2 linked regions of the Drosophila melanogaster genome follow. The protein of the gene in region 1 interacts with the protein of each later gene in a pairwise test. Each region holds a gene or a part of one and is shown on either strand. Other genes may lie near its edges. The genes, in order: Hem and Abi.

Region 1 (6,414 bases):
GTCTGACCGCCAGCAGAATGGGTAGCTATGCTTCACCTGGCCACTGGAAACCAAGTTTCCTCGTGCCTTCAGCGCGGCCATTATTTGCTTATCAGAATCTTTGACGTATTGGCCCTCGAAATCGCTTGCCTCGTTAGTAAACCGTCCTGCCTCGTCCACTGGGCAGAGAACCTCACTGGACTTTGTGATGAGGCCCGCAGCGAGGCACACACGATAATCGTCTTCTCCGAAGTAGGGAGCATTGTGCACAATACCCGTACCGGAATCCTCAGTCACGTACTCGTCGACCAGGACACGATAAGCTTTCACCTCAGCTCCTCGCTTCGCAAAGTAAGGGAAAAGCGGCTTGTAGTGAAGGTCCTTAAGGGTTTTGCCAACAAACTTTTCCTTCACTTCGTACTCCGTCTCCGATTTGTACACGTAAGAGAGACGAGACTCTGCGAGAACAAAAAGTCGGTCGCTCTTTACGTCGCGCACTTTTACATAGGTCATCGTCGGATGAACACAGCATGCGAAGTTTGAGGGCAGTGTCCATGGCGTGGTGGTCCACACTAGGAAGAAGGTATTGGGCAACGAAACGGCCTCCAGTGCAACTACTACGCAAGGGTCCACAACCTCCTTGTAGTTTTGGTTGGCCTCGAAGTTCGAAAGGGACGTTGTGCAGGCGGTGGAATAGGGCATCACCTTAACGCCCTGGTAGACCAGACCCTTGTCGAACAGTTGCTTGAAGATCCACCAAATGGACTCCATGTACCATGGGTACAACGTCTTGTAATCGTTCTTGAAGTCAATCCAGCGACCCACGCGCGTCACCACATTCTCCCACTCATCTGCGTAACGCATGACAATCTTCCGGCACTCGGCATTGTAGGCTGCGATTCCCATCTTGGCCACGTCCTCAGGACCCTTGATATTCAGCAGCTTGTCAATCTCGAACTCCACGGGCAGTCCGTGGCAATCCCAGCCGAAGCGACGGTCCACATGGTATCCCTGCTGGTATGCGTACCGTGTGACGATGTCCTTGATGGTGCCAGCAAGAATGTGTCCGTAGTGGGGCAGCCCGGTTGCAAAGGGCGGTCCATCGTAGAACGTGTATCTTGGAGGTGGAAAATTAGCACAAAATTTGGCGATCGGCTGATGCAATCGTATGCGGCACTTACTTGGGCTTTCCCTTCGACAGCTGGCTGCACTTTTCAAAGATATTTTCGTGTCGCCATTTCTGCAGTACGTTCTCCTCCTCGGCCGGGAAATTAATGTTCTCTGGCACCCGACACACGTCGTTCCGCTCTAGTTTTTTTCCCATGGCTGTCAAAGTTCACTGTTGTATTATTTATCAAGTAACAGAGCTTATTCGCCCACCTTTTATATCAGAAATTCAACTGACTTGCGGCGTTTTTGCGTGGCACACAACGTGCCCGAGGTACGGAACTAGTGGTTCATTAATCGCTCTCTAGCTCATGGGTTCGCGATATCGATAGTAGGTTCCGATGAGCGGCATCCTTGATAATCAGCTGACGACAGCACTGAAAAAAAAAGAAAGGCTTATTTACTATTAACAACTTTAATAAATTTGTTAGCCATAAGAATAAAAAACTGAACTGTAAGTTACTAAGTAAGAAAGCCATTGGCAATTGAATGAATAAACTATGCAATAGTTTTGAAAGCAATTATTCCTGACTTAGACAAATAATTCTAATAAATTAAAACCCCAAATACCAGCTATTATTAATTTGTAGTATAACCAAATTACTGTAATATATAATTATAAAAAAATTATCTTAAATTATATTAAGCCATATGTTTTTTTTCTCAGCAGTATATTTTCTTTTTAACAATCAATAGTTTAGCATATATATGGTAGCTATCGTTATCGATAGCAATATATCTTTGCTATCAGCCCATTGGTCATCACTAACGCGAAAACAAGAGGAAGAGTAATGTGTACACTTTTGTGTCGCTCCTTTTCGGCCAATTTAACAAACGAAAAAGTATAAGTACTGGGCAAATCAGCACTTGCACGCCTCCCAATACGTCTCGCCAGCGCACACCTGTGTTCTGGGCTCCACCGGAAACTCGCCTTCAGCCATTCGACGTCGCCAACAGTCATCGGATATGGCACGCCCAATTTTTCCGAACCAGCAGAAGATAGCTGAGAAACTAATCATCTTGAATGACCGCGGCCTGGGCATTCTTACGCGGATATACAACATCAAGAAAGCATGCGGCGACACCAAGTCGAAGCCAGGCTTCCTCTCCGAGAAGTCGTTGGAATCGAGCATCAAGTTTATCGTGAAGCGGTTCCCCAACATCGACGTCAAAGGGCTCAATGCTATTGTAAACATCAAAGCGGAGATTATTAAGTCGCTGTCCCTGTATTACCACACATTCGTGGACCTACTTGATTTCAAGGACAATGTATGCGAACTGCTCACCACGATGGACGCCTGCCAGATTCACCTGGACATCACATTGAACTTCGAGCTGACCAAATATTATCTGGACTTGGTTGTGACCTACGTGTCCTTGATGATTGTTTTGTCTAGGGTCGAGGACCGCAAGGCAGTTCTGGGCTTGTACAATGCCGCCTACGAGCTGCAAAACAATCAGGCGGACACGGGCTTCCCCCGCTTGGGGCAGATGATTCTGGACTACGAGGTCCCCTTAAAAAAGTTGGCCGAGGAATTCATTCCCCACCAGCGCCTGCTAACCAGTGCGTTGCGGTCGCTGACCTCCATCTATGCACTGCGAAACCTGCCAGCAGACAAGTGGAGGGAAATGCAAAAGTTGAGTCTGGTAGGCAATCCGGCCATTCTTCTTAAGGCCGTCCGCACTGACACCATGTCCTGCGAGTACATATCCCTGGAGGCAATGGACCGCTGGATAATCTTTGGCTTGCTGCTGAACCATCAAATGCTCGGACAGTACCCGGAAGTCAACAAAATCTGGCTCTCCGCCCTGGAGTCAAGCTGGGTTGTGGCCTTGTTCCGCGACGAGGTCCTGCAAATTCATCAATACATTCAGGCTACTTTCGACGGAATTAAAGGTTACAGCAAGCGGATCGGAGAAGTAAAGGAAGCCTACAACACGGCGGTTCAAAAAGCTGCTTTAATGCATCGGGAGCGGCGCAAGTTTCTTCGAACAGCCTTGAAGGAGCTAGCTCTTATTATGACCGACCAACCAGGCCTCCTGGGACCTAAGGCAATATTCATTTTCATCGGTCTTTGTCTTGCGCGCGATGAGATTCTATGGCTCCTCAGGCATAATGACAACCCACCTCTTCTCAAAAATAAAGGTTAGTTAAGGATTTTCTTACGATTAAATTAAAATTTGTGAACCTTAACTATTTTAAATTTATAGGAAAGAGCAATGAAGATCTTGTAGACCGACAGCTGCCGGAGCTCTTATTCCACATGGAGGAACTCCGCGCTCTTGTGCGTAAATACAGCCAGGTAATGCAGCGATATTACGTGCAATACTTGTCCGGATTCGATGCCACGGATCTTAATATTCGAATGCAAAGTCTGCAAATGTGTCCAGAAGACGAAAGCATAATCTTCAGTTCGCTCTACAACACGGCTGCAGCCCTGACAGTTAAGCAGGTGGAAGACAACGAACTCTTTTATTTCCGACCATTCCGCCTGGACTGGTTCCGCCTCCAAACGTACATGAGTGTGGGAAAGGCTGCACTTAGGATCGCAGAGCATGCAGAGCTGGCCCGCCTACTGGATTCAATGGTTTTCCACACTAGGGTGGTAGATAACTTGGACGAAATACTAGTAGAAACCTCGGATCTCAGTATCTTCTGTTTCTATAACAAAATGTTTGACGACCAATTCCACATGTGCTTGGAGTTTCCCGCGCAGAACCGCTACATCATAGCGTTTCCCTTAATCTGCAGCCACTTCCAAAATTGTACGCACGAAATGTGCCCGGAGGAGCGACACCATATACGTGAAAGGTCTCTCAGCGTGGTAAATATATTTCTTGAGGAAATGGCTAAGGAGGCTAAAAACATTATAACCACAATTTGCGATGAGCAGTGCACAATGGCAGACGCTCTATTGCCAAAACACTGTGCTAAGATTCTTTCCGTACAATCTGCTCGTAAGAAGAAGGACAAATCGAAGTCTAAGCATTTTGACGACATACGAAAGCCGGGAGACGAGTCGTACCGAAAGACACGAGAGGATCTGACGACGATGGACAAGTTGCACATGGCCCTGACGGAGCTTTGTTTTGCAATCAATTATTGCCCCACGGTCAACGTTTGGGAGTTTGCTTTTGCCCCTCGCGAGTATCTCTGTCAGAACCTGGAACACCGCTTTTCCCGGGATCTTGTTGGCATGGTGATGTTCAACCAGGAGACAATGGAGATAGCCAAGCCCTCGGAGCTGCTGGCCAGCGTTCGAGCCTACATGAACGTGCTGCAGACAGTAGAGAACTACGTGCACATAGACATAACACGAGTTTTCAACAACTGCCTGTTGCAGCAAACACAGGCTTTAGACTCTCATGGCGAGAAAACCATTGCCGCTTTGTACAACACCTGGTACAGTGAGGTTCTGCTAAGGCGTGTCTCCGCTGGCAACATTGTGTTCTCCATTAACCAAAAGGCTTTTGTTCCCATTTCGCCCGAGGGCTGGGTACCATTTAACCCGCAGGAATTCTCTGATCTCAACGAGCTGCGAGCACTTGCAGAACTTGTGGGACCTTACGGTATCAAAACATTGAACGAAACACTTATGTGGCACATAGCAAACCAGGTGCAAGAGTTGAAGTCGCTGGTGAGCACCAACAAGGAAGTGCTCATTACACTGCGAACCAGTTTTGACAAACCTGAAGTGATGAAGGAGCAATTTAAGCGCTTACAGGACGTGGACCGCGTGCTGCAACGCATGACGATCATTGGTGTGATCATATGTTTCCGCAACCTGGTGCATGAAGCCCTCGTTGATGTGCTGGACAAGCGCATACCCTTCCTGCTTAGCTCAGTGAAGGACTTTCAGGAACATTTGCCCGGAGGCGACCAAATTAGGGTTGCTTCCGAGATGGCCTCAGCAGCGGGTCTGCTATGCAAGGTAGACCCCACATTAGCAACTACACTGAAATCAAAAAAGCCAGAATTCGATGAGGGTGAGCACCTCACTGCCTGTCTACTGATGGTCTTTGTGGCAGTGTCTATACCAAAACTGGCCCGTAACGAAAATTCCTTCTACAGAGCCACAATTGATGGCCACTCAAATAACACGCACTGCATGGCGGCGGCCATTAATAACATCTTCGGAGCCCTGTTTACCATCTGCGGTCAAAGTGACATGGAGGACCGCATGAAAGAGTTCCTTGCTCTGGCCAGTTCTTCCCTACTGCGCTTGGGCCAGGAGTCCGACAAAGAGGCGACACGGAACCGAGAGTCCATCTATTTGCTGCTGGACGAAATCGTCAAACAATCGCCCTTCCTCACAATGGATCTGCTTGAGTCCTGCTTTCCCTACGTGCTTATACGCAACGCGTACCATGGCGTATACAAGCAGGAACAGATCTTAGGGCTGGCACTCTAAATGGAGCCGATCTGTGTATTCCACATAATGCTTATGTAGTTTATCCGCCGATCGACTATCGATCACTATGCTAATCTAACATACTTTAAAACTGTTAAACATACCCAAATGTATTCTAGACTCTGCATTTTTATACTCGTACGACTTCGAATAAAGTGCTTATACAACCCAAATAAGTATCCCACATTAATAAGCTGTCTCTAGATCGGATCGGTATGTATATTCTTTATTTCGGCTTATTGAAATATGTGTCCACTCCCGCGAACGTGCAGCTCCTCCGCTTCAATTTCTGTTAAATTTCATTTGGACACATGCGCACACGTGTGTGTATATTAAATATGAGTTTGGGGGAAAAATCTTCCGCAATATTAAATTATTTGGTCACGTTCAATGTTACTTTGTAGGCTTGTGTACAAATACTTGTAGGCAAGTAGTAAAATATGTTTTCGTTATTTTGTAATATGATTTCTCAGTAGTTATCATTGGTAGTATTTAAATTTCGATTTTGAGTTTTCAATTCCGATACAAAGACTTTTATGCAATGATTTATTATTGTTTTTAATTCTTTTTGAATTACATGATCTGGGATAGGTTCTTTTTCACGGATGGTTAAATGATAAGTTTTGCAAACCGAAATCGGGTAAGTAGGGCATCTTTTCAAATCTGCTCGTAATCAACATAGGCCTAAACATCTACAAATGGGTTCGGTTAAATGTACCAAAATCACTACACTCTGCTAAAAAGCTGTCAATATTTGAGTTTACATCTGTATTTGTGAACATTCTCGATATCTACAATGGGGTTTCGTTAATTATACACATACTTGCTTATTAATATTATAGAAGGTATTGTTATT
Region 2 (5,637 bases), on another chromosome or scaffold:
CTTAGTCCTCTGCGGTGGGACGCGTGAGGCGCTTGGCGCCTCGGTTTGGTGGCCCCTTGGGCTTGGCAAAAGCCGGTCGGTGTAGAATCTTCTTTGGGTGCAGCTCGTCCTGCAAGAAGGCTTCGGTCAGCTCGCTGCCGCTGTCGATTTCAAGCTGAAATGTAAAACGTTGTTAGAAACATGAATCAGATTTAGTATGATTTAAAATTACTCATTATTTATGATTTACAGATTTCTATTTCAAGTGAAAAGTGAGACATTCGCCCTAATTATGATTCAAAATATTTCTAGAGATCGTGAATCAAAAGTATAGTGAATGTGGCGATTTGAAAGCAATAAATAAATCACAAACAATATATACCCTGCTTTTGCTTTTTATAGCCCTAATCTTTAGTGCTATTAGCGCAGCCACACCCACTCGCATTCATATCAACTCACCTTCTTAACAACCTCCACGCCAAGGGCCGCGAGCTCGTCGAGAAAAGGAGCCTTACAGCTTGAGTACATCATGCGCTCGCGCACGGAGCAGGAATATCCAGGCATGGAGTAGACGAACACGTACGACTCAAAGTAGTCGCCCTCGTGCGTGTGCCGAAACAGGAAGAGGTGGTATCGTGCATGATCCTCGGGCACTTGCTTCGGCAGATCGGCGAGCTCCACTTTGGCCGCACGCGAAACATGGATCTGTTCCTCCTCCAGATCGATGCGGAACTGAAGGTAGTCGTGCTTGCCGCGCACCAAATCCTGAACGGCAGCCACGGTTGCCTCGCTCAGCGGGCAATTGATCCCACCCAGAGTTTGGTGCCGCGTATTCGTATTGATCTCAGTGTGAACCTCTGTCTTTCGCAGCTCTTTCAGCTCCTCCTCCCTGCTGGTCAATGGAGCTGGGGCTGCGAAATCCTGCTTGTGCCGGCGATAGCCCTCCAGCGTGCACTCATCCAGAGTGGTGGCATGCAGCTCCTCTGTGATGTATGCTGATCCGAACTCCGTTTTCAACGTGGCCTTCGTGGAAGCGTATACCATCTTCTGTCGGATGCTGGCCGTGTCCGGCGTCCAGCTGATAAGTAGCCAACTGTAGCCCAGCGGGATCTTGGCGTCCAGGCGATAGAGAATATAGCAGGGCACATCCTTTTCCAGTAGGGGACCTATAAGCTTGTCGTAGTCGCGCTCCCAATCCTTTTTCGTCTCCGCCGTGGCGCCGCAACTAAGCTGCTCTGTAATTTGGGGCGGGGTGAAAACGGATGCGGGTTCGTTATCAAATCGTATGCCTAGTATATATCTTGTGTATATACGTTTCTGGATTAAATCCACTCACCATTCTCGATCGAAACTTTTATCACGCGAAATTTACCATTCTTCGCTTTGCCGAACACCTTGGCCAGCTGCTCGTTGGCTGAAAATACAAAGGGTGTTCTAAGGATGCGGATTAGGTGGTTCCCAAAGATAACAAACCTCGGATACCCGTTTGGTGAGACATTTGGACAACAGCTAAAATTAATATTGCCGAAAAAATATATTACTCACAACCAGTGTGACCGCAAAGCGCGAGTAGGGAAATACTAAACCGGGAAATATGTACCGATTCTGATTGGCAATCACTTCAAAGCGGCTTTAAATGTGTAAAAAAAAAAGAATTATTAATTAAAAAGATACTGTAATGCTATTTTTATAACTAAATTTTGGGAAAATTTTTAACACTCTGTTTTATAGAACATACATTTCAAAAATAATACCAAATGTGTCTGCACTGATACAGTGTTGAAAAATTCTTCAAGCTCCAGTACTTTGCAGCACAGGCCAGCGTTCTTTCTTTTTTCACGGAAAATGTAATGAAAAACTGCATTTAACTGCATTTAAAACGTAGCAACTAGCCCGGAAAAGCATCTGTTGTGCAATCGCATAGTCAATAAAGTGAGTGCACGCGAGATTCGTCCGATTAAACCGCTCCAGCGATCAACTGGAGCAGCTGGGCGTCGACGTCGGCAGAGGCCAGCCCACGCCCCAAATGTTTACGGGCGTGAAAAGTGCGGAAAAGCGAGGAATTTAATTGGGTTTTCGTTTCCCGTTTGCCCGCAGCATCCACACCCATGTTGACCGAAACCCCCATGGCCAGCGAGAACATCATGGACGAACTAGCCTCTCTGATACGCACCGAGATCCCCGATGGCCGCCAGAGTCTGCGGGACAGCTACACGAACCTGGAGCGGGTGGCCGACTACTGCGAGGACACCTACTACCGCGCGGACAACAAGAAGGCGGCCCTGGAGGCCACCAAGAACTACACCACCCAGTCGCTGGCCAGCGTGGCCTACCAGATTAACACGCTCGCCTATAGCTACATGCAGCTCCTCGAGCTTCAGGCCCAGCAGCTCGGCGAGATGGAGTCCCAGATGAACCACATCGCCCAGACGGTGCATATCCACAAGGAGAAGGTGGCCAGGAGGTAAGAACAACAAATTGCTTAAACTAGAATAGGAAAAGGGGATATGCATATTTTAAAACGACAAAGAATACGGAATGAACATTTTTGTCTGTAAGTACGACTCATCGGTGATAAAAGCTTCATAGAGAAGAAATGTACATTCATACATGCGTCGTCAGACGTGCTGATAAGACTGAACGTCTCTTTCTTCATTCTTTTCCTACATAACTATTTAGTTTTTTCAATTCACTTTATTTGTATTAATTATTTTTGATTATCTTCATTGTCTTTTCTCAGAGAGATTGGCGTGCTTACGGCTAACAAGGTGAGCTCGCGCCAGTTTAAGATCGTGGCGCCCATCAATCCGGAGAAGCCCATCAAGTATGTGCGCAAGCCCATCGACTACTCGATGTTGGACGAGATTGGCCACGGCATTAACTCGGCCCAGCACTCGCAGGTGCGACAGAAACATCGGGGCTCCAGCCATGGGTCCGTGCAATCCTTATTGCCGCCGTCGGTGGGACCTCCGCCAACCACGAAGCCCCCAACTCCGCCGCAGATGTCGCGAGCTGGGAACACTGGCACACTGGGCAAGTCGGTCAGCAATACCGGGACACTGGGCAAGAGTTCGCGGGAGTACCGCACTCCGCCTGTGGTCAATCCACCACAGGTGCCATCGCACTACGCTCCCAACTATCCTATTGGGCATCCAAAGCGAATGTCGACGGCTTCTTCAACGATGACTACCACCACCACAGGCGGCGGAGCGGCGGGCAATGAACGAGCTGCTGGCTACAGTGCACTTCCGATGCCACCCAGCCAGCAGATAGCCACACATGTAAACCTGCCCTCCGCGGGCATGATGCAATCGCTGCCACCACCGCCGCCCACTACGTACGACGATCGCAGCAGCATGCCACGTGAGTTAATTTGATTATTCTGCAATAGCTCAATACTAATAATGCGGTTTGCAATTCGTAGCAGCTCCTCCTTCACCACTTACGGTTTCGCAGCACGAGATGACCGAGCAGAGTCACATTGGCATGCACACTTTGGGACGCAATATCAACAGGTAAGTTTCTGGAAAATGCAATCCCTTCTTTGTGTAAATATAACCTATTTATTGTTCTCTGTGCAAATCCAGGAATCCAAATAGGTAAATTGCATGTTTCTCTGTTTATCATAGGGTTATACTCAGCTAAAAAAAGTTATACTAGGTTTTCGTGTTTGTACTGTGTATAACTCCATGAAATTCATATGTTATCTTGTATATTAAACGCGTATTTTTCCAAAGGAATCACTTCAGCTTGAACTTCGCTCGTCCCGGCTCACAGTCGCCTCCCTTGCCACCTCCGCCGCCGCCGGAGGATGAGCATCAAGACTTCGGACGACCACGCACATCGACGGGACCGCAGCTGGCGCCCATAGTGCCCGAGGATCAGAACTTACCCGGCTGGGTGCCCAAGAACTTCATTGAGAAGGGTAGGCTGATTGGAGCAACTAACAATATACCTTACTAATTCTTACAAACATTCCAGTGGTAGCCATTTACGACTACTATGCCGACAAGGACGACGAGCTGAGCTTCCAGGAAAGCTCAGTGCTGTACGTGCTCAAGAAAAACGACGACGGCTGGTGGGAGGGCGTCATGGATGGTGTTACCGGTCTGTTTCCGGGCAACTACGTAGAGCCTTGTGTCTAAGCCTCGCATCGATATTCTAAACATGCCAACCATTACAATAATCTGCATCATCTGGTCTGTTCCAGTCCTCTGCTGCTTCTCAAGAGCTCCAAAAAATTTCAATTCAGTTATCGGAGAGTTAGACTGAGGACCGCAACAGACTCAGCTGACAATGACGATAAGATTTTGAGCATATTAATAAGGACAATTATACAATTACACACCTACACAAGCACAGCAGGCCAGAGAAAGCGAATTCCATTAGCATCAGCCAACCGCATTTAGTCTAATATAAACGAGCACACAAACACACAGAATCCACGGGCTAGGGATACCGCTTGCTGCCCAACTAAAACTATTTACACTTTAGTAGCCGAAAACGATGCAAGAAGGGGAAAGTGAAACCGGATACCCGTGAATAACTTATGCGATATTATAAAACTGTTCCACAACCGTAGACGAATTCTGTCCTGCTCCTGCCGCCAATCCAAATACTTTAAATATTTGCTCACAGTTTTATCAAGCGATTTCTGTTTGCCTTGCGCTTTGATATGCCCGGCTATTATACACCAATACTACCCGAACCTATGCCCCCAGCAATACTGTAGGTTATATAAATTTCAGTTAGCATTTAATACTTAAGTATTGGCCAGTTGGAACTTTTGTTTATACTTTTACGAACCGCAACGATGTCTTTTTTTTGCGAACGTTTAGTTAAAATGGAATTGCCAGCAAAGGAATCAAATTAAATTAAACAATACAAGTACACATACGCTCTATATGGTAAAAATAATAGCTAATAAAAATTTCAATTACTAAACCGCAAGCCCTTGTTCTATGACCGTGTAATTTGCGCTGACCTTCTCGTGAGTCGAGCCCCGGATGTCAGTAAAAATCCGTAATTGGGGCAAGGCTCTGTGGCCTGCCAAATTCAAATTCGAAATCTCAAATGCAAATTTCAAGTCGTGTGATGGAAGGCTTGAAATATTTGCAAATGCCAACACTCATTGGGGTCATTCAGTCAGTCAATCAATCCATTATAATCGACACTTTGCTCTACAAACCGATTTCAATTCAATGTCTCGTCCCGGAAAACTTTTCCATAACTCGGCTCCGGGTAAATTAATGCTTTCGTGGTGATATGTGGAAGGTTTTTTACCCATTTGCTAAATTTATTATCAGGTTTCGAGGAGTTGACGTGGCGGAAATGCCAGAAAAAAGTGGAGTGCTGGCATGATTTGCATAAAATGTGCTAAATTGTTGCCCACTTTTTGGGCCCCTCAACTATACATACATAAATATGGAAATACCTTTATTTGTGAACAATTATTGGAGTGGACCTGAACAGCTTGAAGACGGACTCTTTGAACGACTACTTTAACCCACAACTGGCCAGCGGCAGGTGGAACCCGCCAGGAATGTATGCAAAATGGCGCATTAGCATTTGAACAATGCCATAGTAAAAAAACGTGGCAACAACAATAGTTGGTTGATTGTGCCGTGCCAGGAGTCGAAACACCGCCCACCCAGCAGG

What was found.
Region 2: the proteins of Hem (region 1) and Abi interact in a two-hybrid assay, tested with the Drosophila melanogaster proteins (2 studies listed by BioGRID).

Annotation. Positions count from the first base shown.
Region 1 is NT_037436.4:22,283,686-22,290,099, reverse strand, and holds Hem (HEM-protein), read left to right. Parts: upstream 1-1,904; 5' UTR 1,905-2,112; coding exon 2,113-3,292; intron 3,293-3,357; coding exon 3,358-5,558; 3' UTR 5,559-5,746; downstream 5,747-6,414. Other genes in the region: IleRS (Isoleucyl-tRNA synthetase), read right to left, coding at 1-1,096, 1,161-1,303. UniProt on the Drosophila melanogaster protein: Plays a role during growth of the oocyte.
Region 2 is NT_033777.3:14,118,552-14,124,188, reverse strand, and holds Abi (abelson interacting protein), read left to right. Parts: upstream 1-1,768; 5' UTR 1,769-1,911; intron 1,912-1,939; exon of another isoform or gene 1,940-2,076; 5' UTR 2,077-2,087; coding exon 2,088-2,443; intron 2,444-2,719; coding exon 2,720-3,342; intron 3,343-3,403; coding exon 3,404-3,494; intron 3,495-3,566; coding exon 3,567-3,578; intron 3,579-3,716; coding exon 3,717-3,904; intron 3,905-3,960; coding exon 3,961-4,124; 3' UTR 4,125-4,927; downstream 4,928-5,637. Other genes in the region: twf (twinfilin), read right to left, coding at 2-154, 439-1,214, 1,316-1,393, 1,453-1,477.